2 linked regions of the Coturnix japonica genome follow. The protein of the gene in region 1 interacts with the protein of each later gene in a biochemical or structural test. Links are inferred from orthologs where the notes say so. Each region holds a gene or a part of one and is shown on either strand. Other genes may lie near its edges.

Region 1 (11,123 bases):
GTGTTCGCGGGTCTCGGTAGGTGACGGGGTGGCGTCTCATGTTGTTGGTGCGCTGGCAGCCGCCTTCCCGAGGGTCGGTACCGGGAGGGTAGGCCCAGGGGGCGCCTTGGGAGCTCGGCTCGGGCGGGGCTTGTGTCTGCCCTCTGACAGCCCAGCTCCTCGGTCTGCCAGACCTTCCTGCAGGACACCGGTGTGGGGCTGTGCTCAGGTTGGGAAAGGCTGGGTGGGTTTTATAAGCGCTTTTCCCCCGTTGACTTCAGCTTATATTTTGTCTGTGATAATAACACCTACATCTGTGAGATGGTGCATTATTGAATGCGTTTCTGACGTTTTGTAAAGCAACAAGCTGCTGTATAATTGAGTTATTTTAATGAGTATATTGATCTAGGTTGCTTTGAACATACATTTCACCTCTAATGCCTTAAAAGAGGCGTTCCTCTCCCATTTTAGGTTAAAATCCCATTTCTAAGACCTGACCATTGTTTAAGGCTGTTTCTAAGAGACTTGCATGTGCTTTTGAGACATGAGTCTGTTCAGCCTGCATTGGATGTGTTTAATGGCCTGTATACTTATTATCCCAGGGTAGGATTCTACTAAGTGTGATTAAATGTTCCAGCTTCCATGTACAAATTTATTACCAACTCTTACTGTTGTACTTCTTCTTTCTAGCAGCCATGGTGAATTTTGCCCAAGCTGTGCGTGACCACTGGGTTCACATCCTGGTTCCCTTGGGATTTGTGGTTGGATGCTACCTGGACAGATGGAACGATGAGAAGCTGTCAGCCTTCCGAAACAAGAGCTTATTGTACAGGAGGTCTGCTTGGTCCTGCCTTTTAACATTATATGTATTATAGGTTGCTTTCCCAGATAGACTTTTAAAAGTACTTCTTTACAACAAACCACTCAACCATATCTCCTAAGCGCTTTCCACTTTCGCCTCTATTTGTCTTCCCACTAAAGCAATGGATTTTTGGATTGGAAGGAGTTAGATTTTTGCCTTTGGGGTCTCATGTAAGAAACACCATCTGTTAACTCAGCAGAGGTTTATTTATAATTAATGGTAGGACTCAATCCTTTGAAGCTTTGGGTCGTAAAGTAAAAGTTTAGGAGGGCGGGGGCTGAAGCACCTCCCCTATGAGGACAGGCTGAGGGAGTTGGGTTTGTTCAGCCTGGAGAAGAGAAGGTTGCGGGGTGACCTCATTGCAGCCTTTCAGTACCTGAAGGGAACTTACTCCCAGGAGGGGAGTAAACTCTTCGAAAAGGCTGATAATAGCAGGACATGGGGAAATGGTTTTAAGTTAAAAGAGGGAAGATTTAGGTTGGATGTTAGGGGGAAGTTCTTCACTAGGAGAGTGGTTAGGCCCTGGAACAGGCTGCCCAGGGAGGTTGTGGATGCCCCGTCCTTGGAGGTGTTCAAGACCAGGTTGGATGGGGCCCTGGGCAACCTGATCTAGTAAATGTGTATGTTTGGTGGCCCTGCCAGGCAGGGGGGTTGGAACTACATGATCCTTGAGGTCCCTTCCAACCCGGGTCATCCTGTGATTCTGTGTGATTCTGTGATTCTAGAATCATTTTAAATGCTTGTTAATTATCCCACACCATTTATCCTAATTTTAGCCTCCACCCTTTGTTTTCTTTCCACACAGGGAGCTGAGACCCGGCGAAGAAAAGACCTGGAAATAAAGGCTGCTAATGAATGGGGGAAACTTTCTGCTCTGTTCATCACCTGATCTCATGCATTGAAACAATATGGTTATGTTTTTTCTCCTGAGACCCTACCAAGCTACAGAATAGAACACCTACAGTTTGTCACTGCTACTTTAATTCCTATTGTTACTTTATGGAAGGTGATCTATTATAAAGCTGTTTTGATTCTGTGAAGCCCATGGAATTGAGAAATATCTGCCCCCAGAGGTTCCGCTCTGGAGTTGGGGGAGAAAAGACGTCATGTAATAAAGAAAAAAAAAAAAAAACTATGCAAAAATAATTTCCTTTTTTCTTAGTCTGTGTGGTGTGGAATTAATGCGTTTATAGGTGGTTTATGAGCTAACCGAGGCGGTACCTCACACATGGCGCTTTATTAACTCACCGCCACACGGAAGGAAGGACCGCACGTTTCCGGCTGCTCCAGAACTGCGCAAGCGCGTCGTGCTGCCGAGCTGCCCGGACCTCCCGCCGCCAGGGGGCGCTGCTGCGGCACGGCGAGGCGAGCCGCGATTGGCTGCGCGGGTCATGTGAGGCGGAGGCCGTGCCGTTGATAATAAACATGGAGTCGATCTTCCACGAGCGGGTGAGTGAGGTGTTGTGGGGCGGGAGCGGGGCTGCGCTCTGGGGAGGCGGCAGTTGTATCTCCCGGCCTTGCGCTGCTCTGGGGCTGCCCTGTTCCCCTGCCCCATCTCCGGCGGGGCTGCTTCTCGTCTGTGGCCGAGCAGGAAGGCGAGCAGCGGTACGTGGGGCGGGTTCCGTGAGCTCGGACACCAAATCTGCCCGCTGTGGGTGTGCGGCGCTGTGAGGGACGGCATCGAGTGCTGAGCTGAGCTGAGCTTCCTGTTGGGAGAACAAATGCTTCTGGAAACTGCTGTGCTGTGTCAGGGCTCACACGTAGCAGCTGCCTGCGACCTCTGTTGTTACACTACAGTGCCCTTTATCTGCTTTGCCGGTCACTCTGCAGCTTTGCTGATATTTTTGTATTGTTTTGTGGGATCTGTTTAGGTGATACTGGTTTCTGTCCGTTGTTCTTATGCGTAGTAGTTGGTTTAGTTAACAAATAAATAGAGTTAGCTGTACAGTTCAGTGGGTTTTTGTTGTTGCTTTTAATAAGTTATTACATCAGTACAGAAGGGCCCTTTCAAAGAAATTAGAGCCTAAACTTGTAACATGACTCATTTTAACAAAGTTATCCCAGGCTTGATTTGTTCCTAATTATTTCATATGCTTCTGGTGGAAACAATCTGTGACCATTGGCAGGTCTCAGCTGTGTCATGGGGCCAGCAGCAGGAACGTGCTTCCAGCAGGGCAGGAGTTGCTGTTTAGTCTGGAGTTTCTTTTTGTGGGATAAACACAAGCTGGAGAAGCTGTGAAAGATGAGACTTTTGAATTCCATTGTACTTAGGCTGTACAGCCTGTCCAGCTTGAACTCAATATTCAGTTGAGTGGTGGTACCTTCAGAAGGGATTGTAATCTATAAAGTTTCAGGGATCCTGCTGTGAGGGAGACCAAGGGAGATTTGTGCACCTGACTTGTATGATGGAAGAGTGGACATTTAAATAACATTCTTACAAGGCACACTCTTGTATTCTTTACTTTCTGTGGAGTTTTAATTCTTTGACAATTTTGTTTTGTTTCCAACACCTTTGTCCTAATGCACATTCTTAATGTTAATATAAACAAGCATTGATGCAAAGAGGAAAGCTGCTTTTTATAGCTGATGTTAAACTTGTCTTGCACTCGTAGGTTAACTAACTCGCCTGTTATTTTTTAGAGAGGGATTGTTTTTCATGGGAAACTGTAATTCCTCTTTTTGCAAAGTCTCAATGCTCTGTTTTTCTTTAGCCACATGTGGAAAGCAGATATTTCCCAAACCTCATAGGGAACACAAGTTTAACAAAGAAAAAGAGTGTCCCTTGTGGAGAATATTTGTTAATGGGAATTAGAGATTTAAAAAAGAAAAGAATGAGTTTCTTATTTCATACAGTGATGATTTGAAGGGAGCGGAATCGATTCTCCTGATGGTTGCAAAGTACTTGTGTGACTTGGACAAACTGTAGGTGATTTTTACCCTGTTTCCCAAAACATTTTCACTTAGAATTTATTTTCTTCCAGGAAATATGTTTGTTTTCTTTTCCATCGTCAGATTAATGGAACATAGGAATGTATTCTACAGCTCACACTGTAATAAAAATGGAAAAAAATACAGTATTCTGGGAAGTGGGGGCTGGAATGAAATCATTGAATGTTTCTGCAGAGTGCGTCATTAACATCTATATGTTATTGCTTTTGACATAGTGGTGTTTTTTTCCTTTCCTAATATTAGCAAGAAGGCTCATTATGTGCTCAACACTGTCTGAATAATTTGCTACAAGGAGAGTACTTCAGTCCGGTTGAGCTATCCTCCATTGCACAGCAGTTGGATGAGGAAGAAAGAATGAGAATGGCAGAGGGAGGAGTGTCTAGCGAAGAATATAGAACATTTTTACAGGTAAAATCTTAACTTGACGTTGCATGATGTCTTCTTAAAATCTAATATTGTATAGCAAAGGCCTGCTATGCCTGCATAATTACAGAAGATTCATTTTCTAGTGCTGATGTTTTGGAAGTTTGCTGATATTTTCATTCAGGCATTTCAGGTTTGAGGTTTTTAGTGTTATTTGTACAGCTTTATAGTGCTTCTACAGGGGGCCGTGTTACCTTATCTCCTCATCTTAAGGGTAAGATGGTTAGGCATGGCAAGGAGAAGACTAAGAGATTGACTGTTTGTTTTAGTAAGCCAGGGGTAGAGACGGTAACAGAATTCCCTGTACATGTCTGTCCTTTAAGCAGTAAGTATTTGCAGCTTAAAAGTTTGAGTTATTAACAAAAATGCAAATGTTGGTGTTGTAATCAGCATACAGAGTAAAATATATTTCATTGTTGTTTTATGTATGTACAGTCATATTATTATTATTATTATTTTTAAGTGAAATTCTTTCTGAACTTTTATGCTGACACAACTTTTAACTTTCCTTCCTCCAACCTCATATGCTGAGCAGCAGCCTTCTGTAAACATGGATGACAGTGGATTCTTCTCAATTCAAGTAAGATGTGCCCTAGACTGGCAATTTTTTTCTTCTTTATGGAATGTATGTGTTGTCATACAATTTAAATGACATTGACCTATTATCTAGTTTCTGTTTTATAGGCTTAATGACATTAATGGTTAGACTTGAATCTTGAATTACATTAAGAGCAGTGGTGACTTGTGTTTGTTCTTTAGGGTAGTATGGCTTGGTTGCAGTTGGACTTGATGATCTTGAAGGTCATTTCCAACCTGAGCAGTTCTATAATTCAGTTTATGGGTCTTTAAATAAAGAGTCAAAGCATAGACTCCCTCATACCTGCTAGCAATAAGCTTGCTTTCCAAATCGCTTTTTATGGGATACAGGTGAAAAAAAGAGACTCGAGATTGTCTTCTCAAATTATAGACTGTGAAGTCTTTGGCAGAGGTTACAGAATTATTGCCATGATTTGCAGAATGAGAGAAGCTGCAGTATCTGTGATCCAGTTTTTACAGTTCTTTCAGGGCACTTTGAATTGTGGGTTTTTCTGTTCGTTTTTTTTGTTTTGCTTTTAAAGGAATGTAATGGGAAAATAATTAATAGGAAATACGTTAACCAAACCAAAACAGTGGTATTGAACACTAAGCTGGTGAAGCTGATGACATTGCACTACAAGGAGAGGGCAGACAGGAGAGGTACCTGGAGAACAACGAGATGACAACTTAAGCAGTAGTTGTGGGAGGTGAAATTACAGCTTTGAGTGGAGCAGTGAGTTTATTAACGTGTCTTAGTTAAATCACAACTTTGATACTCCCCCTTAGATTTGGTAGGCATGTTATATTTGCACATAGATTGATGATGGTGGCATTTTGAATAATGTGATTCCTAATTTTCCCTGCAGGATTTTAAGATCAAAGCTTAATGAGAATAATATAAGTGTTTATAGTAGCTAAAGCGGTTGCTCTTGCTCAAGTTGGATTGGATAGGTTTGACTCATAAAAGGTGTTGTTGGTTTTTCTGTTCATTTGTTTGTTCTGACAGGTTATAAGCAATGCCTTGAAAGTTTGGGGTTTAGAACTAATCCTCTTCAACAGCCCAGAGTATCAGAGGCTTGGGATCGACCCTATGTAAGACTTTTTGTTATCATCGTTTTTTAAGCAGAGTTTCCTTTAATTTTAGGAAAAATACTGAAAAACAGTTACTTGTTTCTTTAAAATCAGTATTTAAGCTCTGTTGCATTCTGGTGTTTATTTTCTTACACCCTGACCCTTTGATGTTTTTTCTTCTTTTGAGGGTGTATATAAGCACCTCTCCTTTGTGCCTTTGTGACATCTCAATGTCTGTAGCATCAGGTTTATGAGATTTCAGTAATGTTGATGTGATGAAATGATATAACCATAAGTTATGAAAGCAGTATGAGTACCTCTGTAGCACCAAATCAGCAGTTTTACTACTGAAAGTTTGTTTTGTAAGTTTAAATTACTGGTGGCAAAGAACTTAAAACATTAATATGCACTCCAATATTATTTAATTTTATCTATACCTTTTGTTTTTCTTTTTACAGAAATGAAAAATCATTTATTTGTAATTATAAGGAACACTGGTTTACAGTTCGAAAGTTAGGAAAACAGGTGACACTGTCTTTCTTTATTTAAAAATTGACTTCAGATTGGGGGTGGAAGAAGTGGTTTCAAGTAGACCATATGTTGGCCATTTGCAGGCTTTTTCTGCTATTTGATTTAATAGTAGATATAAATAAATGAGTAAATGTTTGCTATATCAGAAATGCCAGGCAGCTTCCCCTGCATTTTTCCTTAGGGAAACATCCCAGGATCAATTTGCTTGTGAACCTGTCCTATAGGAAACGGTAGCTGAGGCAGCCCTTGTGAGCTCTTACGTTCTCTAGTTCTTTCTGTGTGTGAAATAACAGAAAAAAAATATGATTGCAAAGTTCCGTTGCACTAATAAATATTAATAATTGCAGGTATTTAAGGGTATCCAAGGGATAAGGCAGAGCAAGGTAGAGTCAAAAATTTTCACTATTGTATAAATCTATCTGAAGCAGCTGGATTATTAGCAGGAAATAACTATTAAAGGTTATGGCCATACACATGTGTAGTATCTGTATAACAACACAAATCACACACAGATCTCTTATAATGTCAGTGCAGTCTGTCTTTAAGTAGCCAGCCATTGTTCTGGATTGTAGTGCAAAGCTCTTATACAACATAAATTAGTTAGTTTAGTGCAGTGTTTTGGGGTTGATTTTCTTTGTGTTTGATATTTTTTTTTGTTGTTGCTGGGTTTTTCTGGTCATGGAAAGTGTCCCATTAAAAAAACAAAACACAAAAGCCTTTTAAATTAGAAAAGAGAATGCAAAAGTCTTCCTGCCCATTTGATTTTCCAATTGGAGATTACTTATGTTGTCATCCAGTGTGAAGTAGTATAATTTTGCCTGCAAATAAGCAAACTAAACTCTACAGTTCTGGTGTAGTTTCAGAGATTGGCTGATTATTGTTTACAGGCATTTTTTTGGTGTGCTTGAAATTGAAAAGGCTGAATGGCCTTTTAAAGGGTTGGATAAGCTCCCTGGTAGAATTACAGCCACATCAGCTGAAATTTGTTTGAGATACTGTTGTAGCTTACAACATGTTTAATTGGATGGGGTATGCATTTTGTTTTCTCATGTGGTTTGTAGCCAAAGAAAGAAAACACAAGGTTCTGTTATCTAGAGAGTAATGAGAAGGGAAAGACAAAACAGCCTGACTTTTGCTTTCACCTGCTGCTTTTCTGTTACAGTTAAAGCACAGTTAGTTCTCTAAAGTTCTGTCCTCTGTACTTCTTATAGTTTGTCAGTAATCTGTCTATGTTTGCGTAACTTTTAATTCTTTCCCCATTCCTACGCAGTTTGTTTTCTTTACCTTATCTTAGTGCAAGTGGGGCTTTTGACTGACAATTTAAGAATGGTAGATAGTTGACTTTGAATTTGCCAGGTGAATTACAGTTTAGCCCTGGCTGCAAGTGTAGAATTTCATATACAGTAGTTTGGGCAGACAAATGCATTTTTGTGACAATAGAGATAGGACTTTTCTGTCTGAAATGGTGCATTCTCATTCAAATTGGCTAATGTTGAATGGCTATGGAATATAAAAATATTCTTCAAATTGATTGCTATATAAATGGAATACACTAGGTAGTTCATTTTGCCATACTTATTGAGTATATTTTCCCCCTAGTGGAAATATTATATATAATGGATTGTTTTCAGGCATCTGAAAGTAACCTGCATACGTATTAATCTCTAGTGACTCACATTGTAATGTAATGCTGTATAAGTAGCACATTAAACTTAAAGTTCATTTTTCTAAATTTTTAAGTCCGACAGTTACCTCCCAGAGTTGTAAACAATAGTTTGTAGTATCATCATCTATTAAAGGCAGCATGTTTAATTAATAGAAGAGAGTGAATTCAATTTCTGTTTCCTGTACCTACAAATATATTGAGATACAGGGTTAACTTTTGAAGGGCTTCTTTCTTCATGTATCTCTGAGCAGTTTTAAAAGAAAGATCAAGCAGTATTTTGAAACTATGCCTGAAGTGATTCTTCTGCCATCTTTAGGTTTGTGTTTTGATCTGTTTGCCTGCTGCCTGTGTTCAGGAAGGGGATAGAGCATGCAGTCACTTACATGTTTCACATCTCCTGTTAGCTGAAGAGTTTTTGAAGGGAAACTTTGAGCAGTGTAGGTACTGTGCTTCAGTAGACTTTTAATTTGCTGATTTATTTTATTTGATGATTTGATTTGATTTTAGAAAACGACCGCAATGTACAGAAATGGATTATTGAGTCATGTTTATGCTAATTTATTTTCTCAAACTTTTTTTTCTTAATTGCAGTGGTTTAACTTGAACTCTCTCTTGATGGGTCCAGAACTAATATCAGATACATATCTTGCACTTTTCTTGGCGCAATTACAACAGGAAGGTAATAGTAGTTTGCAGATGTTTAATCTCCTTAATTAAAGCAGGTAATCATTATTTATTAGAACTTATCTATTCAGTTAACTAGCCTTAGTTTTGTTATTGAAATAGTGAAATAACCCAAATTCTTGCAATGAGAGTTTGAGCCTTATATTTTAATAGACTGCACATCATTGTATTCCATGTAAGTGTGCATTTCAGATAATTTATGTGTGCAGCCTAATGCTGTAGACCTACGATTTCTATTTTTCAGGTTATTCCATATTTGTAGTAAAAGGTGACCTGCCAGACTGTGAGGCTGATCAACTGTTGCAGATGATTCGAGTTCAGCAAGTGCAGAGACCAAAACTCATTGGAGAAGAGACTGCACAATCAAGAGACCAGAGGTAAGGTAAACAGACTTCCTTTTAATAATGTTTAGTAAGATTTGTTTCCATGATTAGTGAGAACATGAAAACAACCACTTTAAGATGTAATTAGAAGTACCTCAAGATCAATGTGTTCTATTGCACACTATAAAGCCAAATCAGTTGATGACCTAGTTTCAACTGGAACAGAGTTATTTTCTTCATAGTGTATAGTATGATGTTATGTTTTGGCTTTGGGAGTAGAACAGTGTTGATAACGCACTGATGCTTTAATTGTGGCTGAGCTGTGCTGCACAAAGCCAAGAATGTTTCAGCTTCTCATTCTGACTTGCCAGTGAAGTGCTGGGGGAGAAGCACAAGGAGCTGGGAGGAGACAGAACCAGGTTAGCTGATCCAAACAGGCCAAAGGAATATTACATATCATATGACAGAAGAATTCAGAGGAATTAATTTTGAGGAATGAATACATTGTTATTTCTAACACTTCATAAAGTAAACCACGGTGTTGTAAACAGATCTAATAAAAACAGTGAACTACTTGGAAGTGATGCAAAATTACATATAGATTACAGAAGATGTTTTGCTGTAGTGTTATCATCAAAGACTTCTGAGGAAGAGACCATGTGCACTTTTATCTGTGGGTGTAACTGTCTTGAAATAGGTTCAAATGAGTTGAACATTTGTTTAATAGCGCTTTTGAAGTTTCTTCTGTACATGTTGATGAGAATCTACTTTAAGCATATGTTCATAGTGTCGATATTTTCATTCTTATAGCTGAAAAGTACTTGCAGTTCTTTCATGCTATTTTCTTTTACATAGGAATAAAATATTTCTGATTATCATAATTGTCACTTTTTGCCAAAGTTTTTTTTTAAAAAAAGAGTTAAATCAGCACAAACTACTTTAAATCTCTCAGTAGAAGAAAGAATTATTGTGGTTTGAATGTTATAAATCTCATCAACTTCACAGGCTACCCAGAAGTGATGTGGACCAAGCAATAGAAGTTAGCCATCCTTTTGATGGGACAAGCATGTTAGATGAAGATGAGGAGAATTTTCAAAGAGCTCTGGCTCTAAGTAGGCAGGAAATTGATATGGAAGATGAAGAAGCTGATCTTCGTAGAGCCATTCAACTCAGCATGCAAGGTACGGTGCTTTTTTAAATCTCTTGCAGTGTTCTTGTTGCTTATGCTTTAGCAGCTACTGAAACCAGCTGCAGACAGCTGCTTTCAGAATGCTTCAGGTTCTGAAAAGACTGGCTTTGAGACACAGAAGGATAATCCAGACTTTCTAGTGTCTCCTTTCTGCTGTTTGAAAAGTTACAACTTTAATATTAACGCTGGATTTTTAGGAGGCAAGAACAAGTAGGCAAAAGGTGGCAGAAGGGAACCAGTTCTGGGGTGAGAAGATGACTATGAAATTAGCCTAGGTGCTTATTTCATTAACAAATCTGTTTCCATCGAATCTGAAGAATGATGTGTTTGGGTTTTGTGTTGTTTGTCTTTATATTAAGGAAAAAAGCTATAATTTTACTGTAGGACGGACATGTCTCATTCTGATTTTAGGTAGTCGTCAAAGTGAGTTCTCAAACTCGTTACCACAGAATGCTTCTCAGCCACCACATACCAGTCAGACAGACTCTCCTTCTTCAGAAGATCTGCGCAGTAGAAGACAAGCATATTTTGAAAAGTAAAGTAGCCAATAGAAAACTAAAACTGCATTTGGAAGTAAATGTCTTATTGTTCAGTGCTTTGGGGCTGTGGGTGGATTTCTGTCTGAGATCCAGCTTGATTTAACCCTCAACCTGTTTTCATGGCAGTGCTACAATTTTGCTATTCCCATGCGTTCTTTAGAAATGAAGCCTGTAAATAAGAGGGGAGCTGTTAGTAGTGTACCATTAGTCTTAGGAAGGAAAGCAAAGAAATATGTTAGAGTATTTCTGCTACTGTAATAATAATTTTCCTGCAGAATACCTGTTCTCTAAGACGCCTGGTAATTATGTCTCTAGTGAACATCACACAGAA
Region 2 (11,123 bases), on another chromosome or scaffold:
CTGAGCTGTGGCAGCAACAGATTGGTCTTCATAGCCAAAAATTCTTCAGTCTCTGCAGAGCCAGCTTTTTGAGTCACTTCTGCCTGAAGAAATAGCGAGTTAATCTTTCTGTTTTGGGTAAACACAAACTTAACTTCTTGGGAAAGCTCTCTGCAGAGGGCACACTGTCCTCTGGTGGATAGCACCTTGAGTGCATGGCAAGATGTGTGAGACACACCAGGCAAAAAAATATATATTATTACGTATTAAATAACAGCAATCAGCATCTTTCAGTAGAGCACCATGTGTGAAAGCCAGGTGCTTAGCCAAGAGTAGGTGATAACAAAGGCAAGGTGAGCAAAACCAAAAGGAAGCAGACAGGTCATGGTGTCCTTCATATGTGTAAAGGACATTTGTTGACTCCAGCAGTTATTTCTGAAGTATCTCTAGAATGGCAGAGTAAGGCGTGGTGAGTCCCCAGCCATAGGCATGTTGCAGGGAGGTGAGCAGTGCTTGCAGGCAGGTTGGGGTGCATGCACTTGGTCCTCCTCTCATAGAAGAAGAATCAGGAGGGATTTGACCTTAATTCACAAAAAGACATAGGCAAGCTTCTCCTTCAGAGATGTTTGCAGGCTTTGTATGAAGAGTTCATTGCAGAACCCCATCCTTGAACTTTGGTGCTCTGCTCTGCCCGCTCTCCTCTGTTTCCTTGGCTGTGGGCTCTAGTAATGCCCCAGCTCCTGCCTCCAGATCTGTGTGTTCCTCATAAACAATGGCTGTTCCCTCTGGCTGTCATAGAGCTTTGTTTGTGTCAGGTTCTATGTGCACAGCAATGGGCAAATTAAAAAAAAAAAAATGGAAGAGAACACAGAGCTGAGTCCTTGGGTGACTTTCCATGCTCTTCTGATCCCACCAGGTGAACTTCCGTGGAAGCATCCAGAAGCTCATCAGAATCCGAAATCCCTGGGGAGAAGTGGAGTGGACAGGGAGATGGAATGACAAGTGAGTCAACGGTTTGCATGTTGCCTATAGGTGTTGACTGCAGGGAAATGGTTGCGTTCCCGTTTTCCTCTGAGGTCTCCCTATTTCCAGCTTCACTTCATGTAATGTCTGCATGTGATGTTCTCTCTGAGCTGGTTAAAAGAGGCATCCCACCACTGTGTCTCCCATGCTTGTAGTGCCCTCTGCACAAACACCTGCTTTTGGGCTAGATGAAGTGATTTGGTTTGTGATTCCTGCAAGTCTTTTTGTAGTTTCTGCTTTTTTAACAGCCCAGATTCAGTGGTGAGCTTCTGAAAACCTACTTTATATAAAGGCCATAAAAATGCATTTCTGTTGTTAGCAGTGGAAGCTGGAGTTTATGTACTATATTTACTCTGGGTCTTCCTGCTCTGTTTCAGTCGAGGCATCAGTACTTTGTGAAAATAAAACTTCTGCCTTGCATTTTAAGAGGCCAGGTACCTAATGTCTGAATGTCCCCAGATTTCAATTCTGCTGTTGTTTGAGAGCCCTAGAGCTGCTTCTAGCTGGGTGTCATGGAGTTATTGCAATTGTGTAGAGCTGGGTGAAAAACTGAGTCCTGCCAGACCAGCTACATTAAGATTTAGCTTTTTAAACTGCAGTTAATGTGGTTTTGTCTTTCAGCTGCCCAAATTGGAATGGTGTTGACCCAGATGTGCGGGAGCGGCTGACAAGGAGACATGAAGATGGGGAGTTCTGGTAAGCGAATGAGCCTCTTTCCCACACAAAGTACCCTCTCCCACCGCACTCTCCAAGATGAGTGAGCAAATTCACCCCAAATCCCAGTGCTAAGTTGCTGCAGTAGAGGGATTAGACAGACAATGGCTGTCTGGAAACTGTGCATCATAAAGAGATGGCATTGCTTCTCCCAGGATGGCCTTCAATGACTTCCTGAGGCACTACTCCCGCCTGGAAATCTGCAATCTGACTCCAGACACTCTGGCAAGTGACAGGTACAAGAAGTGGAGCCTGCTGAAGCTGGATGGGAACTGGCGACGAGGAGCTACTGCAGGGGGCTGCAGGAATTACCCAAGTAAGAGTGTGCTCATCCACTTGTTGCTCTGGATATTCTGCAGTGTAAAGGATTGGGTTGAAGCCACAGCCCCAGTGGCACAGTGGTGAGAAACATTTCTGAGTCTGGTGTTACATTGACTTCAGTGTTGGCTTTGGTCAGCCCTGCATGCCTTGTCCTTGATGTTTACTGGTCTGGGGTGGCTTATGACTTTCTGGAAGTATCAGGGACTGATATCCAGGAAGTGTAAGTGCATGGAAGACAAGGCTCTATAATGAGGGTCTACTTGTGGATGTGAGGCTGGGAGGGAAGCAGTGGTCACAGCTTAATTTGGAAGCTGTGTCTGTCCTAGTTGGCATGTGTTTATCAAAGAAGGCTCTGAGCAGTTTTCATAAATCCCTTTTGCAGACACTTTCTGGATGAATCCACAGTATTTAATCAAGCTGGAGGAAGAAGATGAGGATCCTGACGATCCTGAGGGGGGCTGCACATTTCTCATTGGCCTAATTCAGAAGCATCGGAGGAAGCAGAGGAAGATGGGAGAGGACATGCATACCATTGGCTTTGCAATTTATGAGGCAAGTAAGATAAATGGAAGGAAAAGGAAAGATCTCTCGCTCTATTAACCCAGCAAAGTACCAGTTCCTTCTGTGCCCTACCTGAGTAGAGTTGGGCTTCCAACCCAAACTCATCAGAGCTGAATCAGATACCAGTAGCCTGAGTGAAAATTCCATTCAGGTGTTTAGAAAATTGTCCTCTATCAAAGCAGTGGTCAAGCACATGGACAGCCATCCAGAGAGATTACAGAAGCCATGTTCTTGGAGACATTCACACCCAGACAGGACAAGGTTCCAAGCAGCCCCATCTAACTTCAGTACTGGCCTTGATTTGAGTGGGGGGTCTGGACCCAATGACCCATAGGGGCTTCTACCAGCTATAGTATTCTATGGTTCTACATGGAACCAAAAAAAGCTGCAAAGATGGGGACTCAGGTCAGGACTGTAGCTGCAGCCAGTGAGCAGCACTGCAGCACACAACTAAATGTGCTTTTCTCCCTGCAGGTGCCCCCAGAGGTACGTAGCATGCGGTGGCATTGAAGGGTTCAAGGTGCAGCTCTGAGGCTGAGCTCTGTGGGCAGAAACAGTTGAGAGGATCCTCCTTCCCTGAAGGACCATTTGGGCTATGCAGAATCTGAAGTTAGTGGCTGTTTATTCTGAGGTGGGCTTGAGCCTGTATTGCATTTTCAAAACATCCTGGGTTCGGGTAAGAGCTCGCAGTACAGCAGAAACTCATAAGGGCAGTTCCTTCATGGCTCTTCTCCCAGCACAGGCCCACACCTGCTCCTGGCCTGCAGAGGTCATGCCTGACACCATTAATACTCCACAGAGGTGTCCATTCTCATACCACAGCTTCTCTGGGCATTGCCCGTGCCTTACCACCCTCTTTGTGAAAGATTTCCCCGTAACATGTAACTTCTTTCAGATTCTGCCTTGTCCTGTCACTATCAGATAATGTTGGTCTCCAAAAAGTTGTCAGAGTTCTTCAGTCTGCTGAACATAAGCATTAGCTAAATGCTGAAGTGAGATGGTCTGTAACACAGGAGTACTGCGGTGTGAGACACTCACTCCCTTTCTCTTTTCTCTTTCATTCTGATGGAACATACATTTTTCTCTTCACACCTCACTAATTGCCATCTCTATTGTGTCTGTAACTTAAAAGAGAACAAATACATGCAAATGATGGGTTTTCTCTGTTTTCTTGCTTTCCATAAGTTTTCTGGCCAGACGAATATTCATCTGAGCAAAAATTTTTTCCTGACTAACAAAGCGAGAGAAAAATCCAACACCTTCATCAACCTCCGGGAAGTGCTGAACCGGTTCAAGCTCCCCGCAGGAGAATACATCGTTGTGCCCTCTACCTTTGAACCCAACTTGAATGGAGACTTCTGCCTCCGAGTCTTCTCAGAAAAGAATGCAAACTCAAAGTATGTAGCTTTGTACCACAGAGGATTGACTGGGAATGGGATGGTTTGTTACCATTGTTGTTTATTTTACAGCAGTTTCTGTCTGGATAGATGCTTTTAGTCTTTGGACTGTAGCCAGCTGGGTCCTGCAGCCCAAGCTGATCCATGGAAACTAGAAAGTCACATAAAGACGTGCTTTGCATTGGTGGTGAGCGCACCGACTATGAGAAAGAGCCCACACCTCTGAAATCATGCTGGGAAATAAGCCAAGAAAATTGTTCAGTCAGCGGCTGCCTCTAAGAACACTGAGCTGGGTTTTAGTAGAGCTGGCTCAAAGCACACCATTGGCTGCAGATGTGGCTTATCCTATACAGCACATGGGCTGGGGCCTTGGGAAGGGGTGGGAGATCTTTCACAGCAACTTGCCTCCTTCACTGCAAGCACTAACCTTCCTCCCCTTGCGTATTCTTTACACCAATGAGAATACTGCTATGTCAGTCTGTGGTTCACTCCACCAACCTGTCAGATTTGAACATGCGTTGTTACTTCTGTAATTCAAAGAATCTGGATCTTAATGTAACTGAATCAGAGAAGTGGCTTATTTTGTTTTTAATATCAACTTCCTTATCTCTCTAGGGTTATAGATGATGAAATAGAGGCCAATTTTGAAGAGGTATGTTTTAAATATTTTAAATCGAGATAACTTTGTCATAAATAAATGGGATTGGACCATCTTTCTCCCCGTGCATCCCAAGCAGATGACATTTTGCTGCAGGCATTACCAAAAACGTATCCCAATTTGGATAATTTTGGATATACATAATTTAATGTCCAGAAATGTGAGCAGAAACGTTATAAGCAATAATGGAAACAAACGTTGCCTCTTTTCTGAGGTGGGATCTTGGGCACTCCAGGTACCCAGGATCAGGTGCTTTCTTCCCATATTCTGTATTTCTCTCTCTCTCTTCTAGACTGAGATCAGTGAAGATGACATTGAACCAAGCTTCAAAAAGCTTTTTGGGCAGCTGGCAGGAAATGTGAGTATTTCATGGTTAAGTCTTACAGGGGTGGCAGGGGTGAGTGTGCAAGAGGGACTGCTCCCAGTCACTGGTGCCAGTGGATCCAGACTTCCCAAATGGGTCTCATGGTGAGGGCACACCCACATCAGACAGAAACACTGAGGGATGCTGATCTTGACCATCAATCCCAAAAGATGAGGAGGCTGCTTATGAGACAGTGCCTGTGTCTCCCACTGAAGAACTTATTTTCCTCTTTTCTGCAGGATGCAGAGATCTCTGCCTTCGAGCTGCGCAACATCCTGAATAAAATCTTGGCTAAACGTAAGTACCTGCCCCCAGCAGTGCTTCAGGACACAGACAGGCTCCCAGAGAGGCTGTGAGAGATTCTCTCTTCACATGGCCAGGGCCACATGCCCTGCAGGCTCAGAGAGCTGCAGAAACACTTGGGCTGTGCCCACATATCACAGGGTGCATTCTCTTGTGGGGTATGTTTGCATGCCTGCTGCATACAGGTGCCTTTTATTCCAGCGTTTGAGCCTGGAGAAAAAATCCTACTTAATTTCCAAAGTGAAATCTCAGCTAGGAAGCCAGGGCTGTGCTACATGCATCAGCCAGTTAGCAATGGTGTGTTACTGGTTACCAAGCTTGATAGGATGAACGAGGCTACCCAGTGTTGACCTCCACAAGTCAAAAGTCCATGTTGTCCACTATCTTTGTAAGCAGACAAGTTCAGGAAGGCTTTATCTTTGTCTCTTGTTTCTGCAGCATACCTACAAACCAGTCTAACTGGACTGTTTGCTTGAGGAAATATCACAGCAAACCTTCACCCTAAAGTCTCTCTGTCAGGAAAAAGAGGGCTGTTCATTAGCATCCATTTGCCTGCTTCAGTGCCATGTCCGTCTCTTGTACAACACCAGAACTATCTCTAAGGACTAGCTTACCTTAGAAGGGGTACCAGTGCAATTGCTAGATCCCAAAGGCTGAGGATGCTGTTAATAAGTCTCAGAGCAGCAGGCAGGCATTCCTGTGCTGCTTTGGCCCAGACCATGGCAGCCATATGATAGAACTCCTCTTCACAAGGGCAGATTTGAAGGAGATGCCAGATTACCACTGAGTAACCAACCTGCCACAGACAAGGCAAAGTGCTAAGCACAAATTATGGAGAAACAAAAAATGCACTGAAAAGAAAAGGTCATTTTGCCAGTTTCAAAGGAAGTCCCTAAAGAGACATGTAGTTAAGGATGGAGGTGTGTACGCTGGTTACAGAGCTCCCAGGCAATGGAGGAAAGTCCTGTGGTACAGCGTGCAGCCTTAATCCCATCTCTTGCTCTTTCTTTACAGGTCAAGATATTAAATCTGATGGCTTTAGCATCGAGACATGCAAAATAATGGTTGATCTGCTAGATGTATCCTTTAGAGCTGTTTCAGGATGCTATTTTTCTGCCTGAAGTAGGTGAGCTGCTGCCTTTGTGAGCTCAATGCCTCCTGAGGCAGATCAGTTGTTTTTTGCACTGGTCCCCCCATATAAAACTGCAGTTCTTGCTTTGGTCACTGACCATGGCACACACATTCTCTCAGGCAGTGGGGAACTCCTTTTCCAGACAGGCCCATCTGTTTATTATGGTTTAGCTGATGCCAAAGTAAGGTTTGCTGGCAACAGGGTGTGGACAGCCTTGGCTGGTAGTTAAGATGCACACAGCTGGCTGTACTTTCACACTTTGCTATCTGGCTCGTGCTGCGGAAGGCATTGTAAAGCCATAAAGACTTAGTAAACAAGAAATGAAGCAAGCAAATAACGGGAACCAGGCTGAGTTTTAGGAGTGTCTACATCCAAGAATAAGCACAAAAGTGTAGGATGAAGGACTCGGGTCTAAGAATAGTCACATCCAGCTTCTCTGTTCAGTGGGAGTCGAACTGTGTACTCAGAAACAAATGGAAAATTACCAAACAAAATGATTATCTGCTCAAATTTTGTGTTAGCAGTCCATACTACTTAGTGGTTTTGGGGAGGGAAGCAATGAATGGCCAGGTACTTTTGTTAGCTGTTTGTGCAAGAGTTCTCTAAATAGCAGGCTTGGTTGTGTCTTTTCTTGTTTATAACCTAGACTTAAACACTCCTGCAACTGCAGGTGTTGAACCTATGGAGAGCAAAATGGCATCACATCTGCTGCTTTATGCATGTATTGAAAAGGCAGAGGAGAAGCAAGAAGGGCTTGTGAGCTGATCACAGTTTAAACAAATCAGCCACTTTATTGATTAGAAAGACAAGAAGCCCTGGAGAATAGTTTGTGTATCCAACAGGATGGGCTTGTTTAAGCAAAGGAAACAAACAGAAACATAAACTCTAGAGAGGACTTATATCCTTTTCTTAATACTTATCAAAAAATGAAATTAAGTCACAAGTGCTCGTGTTAATTAGCCCAGCACAGAGAGGGAAAAACCTTTTTCTGACTTCCAAAGAAATTACCTTGACTCCAACAAGAACGATGGGAGTGGAAAGCTGGGGCTGAAGGAGTTCCACACACTCTGGACAAAGATTCAGAAATATCAGGTAAGACATAACTTTTTTGGGGAGGACATATAATAAAATATGGATTGTTTTGCCTCATACAATATACAGCTATTAGAGATTTTAATTGTAAATTTTGACATGCAGCTCCTTTGTGCATGATCACTGTTTCCACTCTGAGGGAGGTGAAGCCTCTTCCCTGCTGGTGATCCTCTTAGTTTCAGAGAATCAGAACAGACTGGAAAGGGAAACCCAAGAACTGCAGCTGAACATATGTACTAGGCCCAGTTACTTAATGCCCACATCAGCACTAATTGAAGCTGGTCAACTGCCTGGCAAACCCAGAGAGCAACCAAACCCCCCCCCTCTAGAGTTCTACAGAACACAAAGTAGCAGGAAAACAATCTAGTTGGCTTGAAGTGTTTTGCTTGGAAGCCCTGTGCTGTCTGCTTGAGGCCACCAGGAGTTGGGTGACAGCCATGCATCCCAGTGCTGCGACACCAGTAGAAAGGTGCACGATGTGTCTCCTGCAGCCTCTGTACATCCTCAGTTCCCCAGTTTTAGTCCTCAGCATCCACAGCTGCCAGCTTCTCTTTACTCTCTTTCGGCTGTCCAAAGCCAAAAAGCACTCTGAACTGTTGACAAGTTTTGACTTTGGGTTTTGTGTCCTGTAGAAAATTTACAGGGAAATTGACGTGGATCGATCTGGAACTATGAATTCATATGAGATGAGGAGAGCGCTGGAAGCTGCAGGTATTTGTCCTTTAAGTATTATAGCACTTCCAAGCTGGGGTGGCAGATACTCACCACACTCCAGTACATGATTTCTAAGCTCTTTTTTCACCCAATCCTTGGTGTTATATAGGGTTCAAGTTGAACTGCCAGTTACATCAAATCATTGTGGCTCGGTTTGCTGATGAAGACCTCATCATTGACTTTGATAACTTTGTCCGGTGCTTGATTCGGCTGGAAACCTTGTTCAGTGAGTACAGGTTTAAAAACCAAACTCTGTTGCTTTGCCTTTTCACTATGAGGCCACTGGATGCTGAAAGCTGTTTTAAATTAACGTTTGTCAATATTACAGATAGAACCACTACAACTGTCCGGTCTCTTTTTCTGCCTATTTGGCAAGTAGTTCTTGTTGTATCTGTAAAGCCAGTGTCCATTTCTGTCTTTAGTGGGATGGTTTCACAGTGGTACTTTTCAACTTGGGGGTGAAGTCTGTTGTCATAAACTCATCTCTGAGCTGAAGCATGGGGAAGAGGAAATCTTTCCAGCTGGTCCCTATATTCATTCTTTTCTATCATCTGTCATTCCACAGAAATGTTTAGAAAACTGGATACTGAGAAAACTGGAACAATAGAACTGAACCTCATTAACGTAAGTGCATTCAGCTCTGGAAGATTCTTTTATTTAGAAGGTGGAGGGAGTTCACAGCAAAGAGCATTCCACTCTATTCTGACTAGTTATGGCTGGGTATCTGTTCTCATATATGTTAGATTTATATCGCTCGTGTAATTGTTTTGAGAAACATCCTTTTCTAAGCTGTACCTATAGCCAGTCCCAAATAAGATGTAATTTTTTAACCAAAAGTCGCACATTTACCAGAAGTAATTCTGGCTGAAACTTGTGTAGGTCTCTTCCCTGCCTCTTCTATCAATAACAGAATCAAATATAGGCTTATGAGTACTCACAGGATGGATTACACATGCTTTCTCCACCATTATGTGTGTCCTGTAGAGAACTAGGAGAAAACAAACTATCTAAAGTGTCTTCTATTTACACTCCTCACAGTGGAAATAGAAACACACATACTTTCTCTGGGTATTTTTCATTAAACTTCAGGCCATCTTTGTTTCTCATAGTGGCTCCTCTTCACTGTCATTTGAACTACTGCCATCAGTCCAAGATGCTTCAAAAAGATGAAGATCAGGTGAAGATAAACAGAATACAAAGCAAAAAATACATATATGCTAAATGACACGTGCCTTAACTTGCAAATGGGAACTTTGCACATGCTTACAAGGAGGAAAGAGCTAATTCCACAGCAGAAGAATCTGCAACCTTGTTTAATAGGTTTAACAGTCTTTATATAATCCTATATACCCTCTGTACAGCTTTATTACTGTATAAATCCTAAGTGCAACTTTTGAAAATATTTCTTTACCAATATCTTCCTATATAGTGTGGGAAGAAAGATTATTTTGCTTGATTAAGGGCTTCTGTAATATGCGGGACCTTGTGGTGCTGCTATCTGAAAGGGGATGGTATTGCAGCCCCTCAGAACACAGGTGTTCAGGTAAGACCTGGGGCCCCGCATGCTTCCTGTTAAGCTATGGTATTATTCATTCAGGTTAAATAATTTTTGAAGGACTCGAGTAGCAAGTAACACGTTTAAACAATCTGAAGACTCTGCATCTTGACCATTGATATCCCTGGAGCAGGAAAAGGCTGTTGGTAACTCAGCTCTCACCAGATAAAGCACATGCTCCCAGCTCTTGAGTTCCTGTATCTTTTTAAATCTTCCTTTGAAATACAAGTATTTAAATAAAAAGATAACAGAGAAAACAAGGCTTGCAAGATCCTTATTGTTTCTGAAAACGAGCAACATTTCTTTTCTGGGAGAGAGTCTTGCAGAATACATGCAGAGCTTCAGTTGTCCAGAACAGAACCAGCTGCCTTTTAATATGGAAAAAAAAAACACAAACCACATTCTGGAGCTGATTAGGCACTAACAGACATTGAATGTCTCTCTCTTAATGCAGTATTAGATAGCCTGACACTTTAAAAGATTAATTCTTGAAAAACTATGGTTTCAAGAAAGATGATCACTCCTATATATACCCCATACCTGACCTATTAAAACAACAAGGCTGTGAATGCAAGCAGAGTTCTCACCACAGCTGACATAACTTCATCCACTTGAGAATCTGTTTCCTTTTTACAGCTTCTTTCTCAAGTAAAAGAAACAAGAACTTACCCTTAAGAAAGCACAAGCCTGAAGGTGAGGCAGAGGTACATCACTAATGTGTTACCTTTGAGGAAAGACTTGGTACTTCCTACTACATAGCATTTATTACCAAACGATTATTCCTGAACTGATAAGCTATAAACAATATTTCCACTGGAAATTTGTATTTGGGAAATATTTTGTTCAAGGATTTTTTTTCTTAAACATGTCCCTTACAAGGGTTGTATGCAACTATCAGTTAAGGCTTAAATACAGAAAGGCAATCTTTGATTGACTGGTGAGGGTGTGTGTGAATAGAGAAAGTAGGTGAATGTGACCACAACGTAGAACAGCAGTGCGTCTTATTGTCAAGCATTTTCAGATGGTCCAATAGAAGCTTTACAGGAAAGCACCCAGAGGTAAAGCTTAAGAGGAGACAAAAGTTTAATGGTATCACAGTCAAATAAAAACAAGTTATCAAGGACTACAGAAAGTTTCTACATTTAGTTTTAAAAGTAAAAAAAAAAAAAAAGGCAATAAATACATGAGACTCTTTGCAAAAAGAGGAATCTAAAACTACAGTCTGTAATAGCACATAATATTTTGAATACATAGAATTGCTAAGATGCTACAGCATTTTAGAAGTTATTGCTTACTGGATTGGTCACATT

Evidence for each region.
Region 2: of the proteins of ATXN3 (region 1) and CAPN2, one has a biochemical effect on the other in vitro, tested with the Homo sapiens proteins (2 studies listed by BioGRID). The link is inferred for Coturnix japonica from reciprocal best matches to the Homo sapiens genes ATXN3 and CAPN2.

The regions. Positions count from the first base shown.
Region 1 is NC_029520.1:40,420,303-40,431,425, reverse strand, and holds the start of ATXN3 (ataxin-3), read left to right. Parts: upstream 1-2,178; 5' UTR 2,179-2,266; coding exon 2,267-2,290; intron 2,291-2,425; exon of another isoform or gene 2,426-2,446; intron 2,447-4,033; coding exon 4,034-4,198; intron 4,199-4,748; coding exon 4,749-4,793; intron 4,794-5,795; coding exon 5,796-5,881; intron 5,882-6,318; coding exon 6,319-6,385; intron 6,386-6,738; coding exon 6,739-6,774; intron 6,775-8,648; coding exon 8,649-8,736; intron 8,737-8,985; coding exon 8,986-9,118; intron 9,119-10,069; coding exon 10,070-10,245; intron 10,246-10,664; coding exon 10,665-10,788; intron 10,789-11,123. Other genes in the region: NDUFB1 (NADH dehydrogenase [ubiquinone] 1 beta subcomplex subunit 1), read left to right, coding at 675-814, 1,647-1,683. UniProt on the Homo sapiens protein: Deubiquitinating enzyme involved in protein homeostasis maintenance, transcription, cytoskeleton regulation, myogenesis and degradation of misfolded chaperone substrates.
Region 2 is NC_029518.1:15,384,748-15,395,870, reverse strand, and holds the end of CAPN2 (calpain-2 catalytic subunit), read left to right. Parts: intron 1-895; coding exon 896-981; intron 982-1,623; coding exon 1,624-1,698; intron 1,699-1,871; coding exon 1,872-2,032; intron 2,033-2,419; coding exon 2,420-2,589; intron 2,590-3,072; coding exon 3,073-3,084; intron 3,085-3,783; coding exon 3,784-3,995; intron 3,996-4,610; coding exon 4,611-4,647; intron 4,648-4,945; coding exon 4,946-5,011; intron 5,012-5,256; coding exon 5,257-5,314; intron 5,315-6,334; coding exon 6,335-6,399; intron 6,400-7,475; coding exon 7,476-7,544; intron 7,545-8,176; coding exon 8,177-8,255; intron 8,256-8,367; coding exon 8,368-8,484; intron 8,485-8,823; coding exon 8,824-8,882; intron 8,883-9,367; coding exon 9,368-9,391; 3' UTR 9,392-10,075; downstream 10,076-11,123. UniProt on the Homo sapiens protein: Calcium-regulated non-lysosomal thiol-protease which catalyzes limited proteolysis of substrates involved in cytoskeletal remodeling and signal transduction. Proteolytically cleaves MYOC at 'Arg-226'.